Linked DNA regions of Ovis aries. Each later gene encodes a partner of the first gene's protein in a complex. Links are inferred from orthologs where the notes say so. Each region holds a gene or a part of one and is shown on either strand. Other genes may lie near its edges.

Region 1 (3,651 bases):
TTAACATTTAAATAAATAAACCTTTTAAAAAGTAAAACTATGTAAGTTGTGTTATATTAAAATGGAAACTAAACTATTCAAAAGCATCTCATGAGCAAATTGGCAAAAATTGTATTTTTTTATTATGTGGTATCACAATGCATACTAGTCAGCATGTATTGCTATATATTTCATATTTTTAATTAATAAACTCTAAAAAGTAATTTGAAAAAATAATGATTATAAATTTGGTTATGTGTCTGAAATGCTGACAATCACCACAGCTGTTTCCTTTAAACAAAATACAAACACATACTAGCATACTGTCAATAGAGAAATAAAACCCAAACATGGAAGCACTAAGCCTCAGATGTATATCTGTTACAGAAGTCTGTATGATTTAAGATATTATAAAAATAAGCAATAAAAAAATTTGAATGTTATGAAGAAAAGGGGAAAAGCAGAAAACACACATATCCTAAACCATCTTCTTGGGAATAACACATACTTGATTAGTTTTTAAAAATACTTTAAACCAAGTTAGTATTAATTAACCATTAGAAGAAAGACAATATAAAATGATGTTATTAGAAAAAACAGTTATTACTGTCTTAAATTTTTTATTCTCACAGCTTCTTTCACTAGTTGGAGACAAAAAAAATTAACTGTCTCACTGTGCATTATAATAGAGCATTTACATTTTAGCATTATAAAAAAGAAACAAAAACCAATACCCACCATTCACTCAGAATGTGCAAGTAATAAACTAAATACTTATATTCTACAGAATACCATGGTACACCAAAGTATTAAAACAGAAAAATTTTTGCACAAAATTAGGGTCATGTACTTTGTTTCTTTTAAAAACTTGGTTAAAATCAAGAATTTTATATTAAAAACCTTTGCTGAAGTGTTACATCAATCTCTTCCTTTACAAAGACCTAAAGTAACTGATTCCTACCCCTCTCACTATGATTTCTTCCCATACAGGTGTAATGAAATTCCCAAGCCTAACACTGGCGTCCCAGTGTAAAATCATCTCCTTCTGCCATGCTAATCCCCATAACAAAAAGGATGAATGGCTCATTAGACAATACTGAGGGAGGAAGTGACTCATATCGAATGCTACAAACTTCTCCCCCAGAAGGGTTTCTGAATCTGCAAGTGTAATCTGCTTTTGACATTTCAAGTTTTAAGGCAGAAGGAGTCTTGCTCTGGAGTGGGAACCTTTAGCCACACATATGCCAAAATATGTACTTAAATGAAACTCTATAACATATGGTACTGAGTTACTTTCTCAAACCTTCTCCACAGTAACCACCTGACCGTCTGTTTGCCAGAATGCCTAGGAGAAGAGATTTTCAAAGGGTCAGTTAAAATTATTTCTACTGAATATTACATTAGCAAAAATATTTTGTTTTAAAACTGTTTATCCTTACCCAGTGGAGGCTGAAGTAAGTCCCCTTCCTTTTCACATGTCCCAACAGGCTGTATGTCTGGAGAATCAACCAGCCGCCAAAAGTCATTTTGGTTATCACTACCATCCAATCTTAAACGCAGCCTGGCACCTGTAACTCCAACAACTGTAGCAATACATACTGAAGTCGTATTGCGAGGGTCATGGGCTTCCAACTTCATGCCAACTTTGAAGTCATTAGCTGGTGGAATCTTAGACTATATACATAAACACATACAAATAAAATTCTGTTAAAACTCTTTAACTGTAGGAAAATCAAACGGTCAGTTATGTTACCAGAATACATGAGGAACATTTTAAGTAACAGTTACAACAGTTGGTGAACAAAATGAGAGCTGTAAGGGTTAACAAAAAGATCTCCAAATTCTCTCCTTGGCTTGACACACAGCCTGACATGGCTGCCCACTGCTTGTCACTCACTCATCTGCCCACTTCCAGGCAAACCAAATACAACCTCTAAAATGCATCCTGAGTGCCTTTCTAATATAAGAATTTGATTAGGCCTTTACTCTTAAAGTAAGCCAAAAGGCAGCTTACCACTGCCTAATGTAAAGTCCAAACAGTCAGTATAGTTTAAAAGCCACCACACTTTAACCTCACTCCCATACTTAGGTCTCTATCTACTTAGTGCTCCAGCCACCCATACCATCCCTCAACACTCAGGTTCTTTTACGCCCATGTCTCTTTCCTTTGGATGTTCTCTCTGCCTGGAATATCCTTCCCCTCATTACAACTACCTCAGATAGGACCTCTTCTGTGAGTCCTTTCCAGTATAGTTATCACACTTTTTATCATTAATTATTTACATGGCTACCTTTCCCTCCAGATGGGCAGTCATAAGAGCTTAGTATACCTGACATAAAGTAAATTCTTAATCAATGAATGCGAAGAGACCATCTGGTTCTTAAGCAGCACTCCCACAATCCCACATTGCTTCACACTAATAGAACCTAATAACAGATTCCCTTCAACAAGTTAATAGTTTACAAAAATAAATATAACATGGTATCTACAGAATTTTGGCATACCTGTCTGAAATACTCTGAAGGAGCACTTAAAGATCCAGTCTCTTCCAAGTATTTTTCCCATTGAAAATTATCTGGAAAAAAACATGCAAAAATAGGTGGTTTTTTTGGTTTATTTTTGGGCCCCACCAGCATAGCTTATGGGATCTTAGTTCCCCAATCAGACAGCAAACCCAGGCCCATGTCAGTGAAAGTATCAAGTCTTAACCACTGGATTGCCAGAGAATTCTCAGGGTTTTTAAAACATATATAATATGTATACTAACTTTCAGGAATAAAATGGATTTTAGTTCCATATCTCTTTAAAGAAATACTTCTCAAAGGACAAATACAAACTTCCTCATCTGACTACCAGCATGGAAATAAAAAATAAGACCATTTCCTGATAATAATGGTTCTGATATAAATGATAATCCAGATTTTCTTGATGTAATGAGGACTGCATCACAGTGATTCTAAAAACGTGAACTCTAGAAACAACTAAAGGACTTTTTATAGCGTAATAGCAAATTCTACTCATATGTCTCTAATACTAATTTACTCAAAATATGTCTTTATCATTTCATCTCACTATTCTGAAGCTATTTCTTTGTTTTTCACAGGGATCTAAAGGTGTGTGGCATAGCAGAAATAAAGCATTAATTTATGGAAAGAAAAACTCTGAGAACCAGCGTTGTTTCTCAATTGACTATTAGATCTCCATCCAGGGTGTCAGAATATGGTGGCAGAATAAAGCAGAAACCAGTCATCAGTGCAATGACTAACACAGATTGTTGTAACAATCTATATTTTCTGCAAACTCCTTCTGTTCTTTCTCTCACTTAGTCTTGATGACATATAATGCTAGAAGTAAAGGTCAAAAGGCAGTACACTTTTCCCGGACACTTCAATTGACTGTGTCAGTCACAATGCCCTGAAAGACTTGACAGCAGTATTAAAGGTACTATTAACTCATATAAACTTTAATTCTCATCAAACATGAGGGTTTTTTTTTTTCTATACTCCCTGTTTAATTAATCTCTTTACTATAAAAATATTAGGGCTCCACAGTTCCCTCCCTAGGGGAATCTGTGTTACTAGCCCCTTATACATTCTTCAAAGGCTGTAACAGTTCCACTTACACACACACACATTCATACACTGCTGATAAATGTTTAACAGCCAGCTTTC
Region 2 (2,644 bases), on another chromosome or scaffold:
AGTTGGGGTAGAGGAAATCTTTCAATCGTTTTCTCTTTTGTGGCCCCCTGCAGAAAAAATTAAAATCTTTTCCGAAGAAGTCTAACCTTACCCTTTCCTCCCCACCCCCACCGCCGACTTTTCTCTTGCAGCTGCTTCTGCACAATTTGCAGCTTTTACTGCTTCCTCCGTTCCCCACCCCCAGCCCAAGCACGGGGTTTTGCTTCTCAGTCAAATGACAATTTCTGTGATTAGCTAAAATAATGTAACGCTCTTATTTCATCAAAAATCGACGTTCTTGTGAAATGGTGGATGCCATGATCATGGCTTTAAATCAGGAGGTTCTCATTTCTTAAGAAATCCCTTGAGAAAAACGGAACTTTGAGCAGTGTCACCACTCTAGGAGATAGGACTGTTTTCCCAAAAGGTTCATACTGTGAAAAAAGGCAGCAGTATTTAAGTATGATTCATAACTCTTTCCCAGGACTTAACACCATGAGGAATGAATATTTTGGTAAATTGTGCTCCCTGTACCTAGTCCTGACGAATAAGCCTTTCCAGTAGGAAAGCTTTATTGCAAATATTTGCTTATTATGTACCTATCCTCACCCATCTCTATAGCACAAAAAATATAGTGTTGTTGTTAAAGCAGAAATAAAAGAACCCTCAGAACACAGGATGGCTGGGAGGTGGGGGTGGGGGTGGGGTGGGGAGTCCTAAATAGTCAAATTGAACCGCATGATTTTAATGCTTGATTCAAAAGAAGGAAAAGTGTGGCAGAGTCAGGATTCTTGTAATGGCAACATAGGGTTTTTGTTGTTGTTGTTTGTTTTGCTTTGTTTTTAGTATTTACTTAAAAATCAAGCTTAGAACATTTTCAAGTTAGAGATCTCTTTTGCTTACAAGGGGTTTTTTTTTTTAAGTGTCAATAATAATAAAGGTAATGTGTCAAAAATTTCGGGCATACTCAGCCCGAACTGCTAGAGGCATTTCTTGCTTGAGTGCTTAGTATTTGTTGACTAAGTTAACTAAGGAGTAACTCTCCTTCCTGATTTTTCTGTTTCTTACCACGGTTCCTTAATTTTTAAGACATTCTTTTCCTGAGAGCGACGGAGGAGGTTGAAACCTCAGAATCCGCTAAATTCAGCCGAACTCAATAAATTCAATGGAACCCCAACCGCGGAGCAAGCGGACCTAGATATTTATATCAGCGGTTATGTAAATGAGGACTGAGAAGTTTGCTCTTTTGATTGGAGAAAGGTGGAGAAGGTGGTCCTTCTGCCAGCGTCCTAATTGGGAGCCTGCCTGTCATTGGTCACCGGAGCCAAGGAAGCTGCTGAGCCCAATGGGAAGGCGCTGCCTAGTGTCAGCAAAGTGTTGGTAGAGGCAGTTCCGGTGTGGTACGTTGCATTCTTGTACTAGGAACCGGATCGCTGGGTTTTTTCCTCTCGCTGGAGTTTTAGGCGAGAGACAAACATGTCTGGTCGCGGAAAGCAGGGCGGCAAAGTGCGGGCAAAGGCCAAATCCAGGTCGTCTCGAGCGGGCCTGCAGTTCCCAGTGGGCCGAGTGCACAGACTGCTGCGCAAGGGTAATTACGCGGAGCGAGTGGGCGCCGGGGCGCCGGTGTACCTGGCGGCGGTGTTGGAATACCTGACGGCGGAGATCCTGGAGTTGGCTGGCAACGCCGCGCGGGACAACAAGAAGACCAGGATAATCCCTCGCCACCTGCAGCTCGCCATCCGCAACGACGAAGAGCTAAACAAGCTTCTGGGGAAAGTGACCATCGCTCAGGGCGGCGTCCTGCCCAACATCCAGGCCGTGCTGCTGCCAAAGAAGACGGAGAGTCAGAAGACGAAGAGCAAGTGACCCTGATGCCGCCACAGGGGAGCCGGCTTCCCAGCAAGGGCTCTCTCCAGAGTCGCCCCGCCCGCAGTGTTTTTGAATATGCTTGATGTTATGGAGAGCCGGAGCCATCTAGTGGGGAGGTGGGCGGCGAGACCAACTGGGTCCGGGGCCCAATAAAGTCGGTGAAAATCGTCTGGTCGAGAGAGCTGTGTAGTCGCGGGGCCCTGCCGGGAGACCCAGGGGCGACCGGGAGACCTTTGGAAGAGGTACTGGTGGGTCGGCTTGAGCCACTTTCTGGGCAGCTTTGTTCCGCAGCCACCCTCGAGGCGCTACGGGCGGATCAAGGGAGACCAGAAGGGACCCACTGGCGTGGAGGTGGGCAGAGTCGGGGGCTTTCCCTGCTCGTCCGGAGGCAGAGGCAACGCCGAGTAGGTGCAGATGAGGCTGGGCCAGTTGTTTTTACATCCGCCTCCCAGGGCCTGTGCTCCCTGTTAGGGCAGTTCCGGAACCAGTTCTAGGAAAGAGAGTGATGAAGATGTGGTCTTGGGCAGGAGGTTGTCTGTCCGGCCACACTTTTCAGAAGGGAGAATAACTTTGGATCTTGGAAGAGTAGCTTTGACGACACGGTGTCAATTTAACAGATTTTTCTTGGCCTGACAGCTGTTGTGTTTTCTTGTTTGGGGTGTCAGATATTTTTGTGTGCACGCTTATGTTCACATTTCTTTAAAATGAAGGAACCATCCAGTAATATGTGTAGTGCAGAAGCCTGAGTCATGAAGTTGGAAATTTGTTGCGCTGACACTCATGTTGTGTAATAGTG

Evidence for each region. The genes of interacting proteins can lie anywhere in the genome.
Region 2: the proteins of SCML2 (region 1) and histone H2A.J are in contact, whole or in part, in a crystal structure (PDB 4EDU), measured with the Homo sapiens proteins. The link is inferred for Ovis aries from reciprocal best matches to the Homo sapiens genes SCML2 and H2AJ. Residues at the interface, in NP_006080.1 of Homo sapiens: Asp182, Asn185, Tyr187, Leu188, Cys190, Phe206, Trp209, Phe213, Pro239, Pro240, Gly241; in NP_808760.1 of Homo sapiens: Leu35, Arg36, Lys37, Gly38.

What each region holds. Positions count from the first base shown.
Region 1 is NC_056080.1:16,602,892-16,606,542, forward strand, and holds part of SCML2 (sex comb on midleg-like protein 2), read right to left. Parts: intron 2,556-3,651; coding exon 2,485-2,555; intron 1,654-2,484; coding exon 1,419-1,653; intron 1-1,418. UniProt on the Homo sapiens protein: Putative Polycomb group (PcG) protein. PcG proteins act by forming multiprotein complexes, which are required to maintain the transcriptionally repressive state of homeotic genes throughout development.
Region 2 is NC_056056.1:200,765,176-200,767,819, reverse strand, and holds histone H2A.J, read left to right. Parts: upstream 1-1,386; 5' UTR 1,387-1,455; coding exon 1,456-1,845; 3' UTR 1,846-2,018; downstream 2,019-2,644. UniProt on the Homo sapiens protein: Core component of nucleosome. Nucleosomes wrap and compact DNA into chromatin, limiting DNA accessibility to the cellular machineries which require DNA as a template.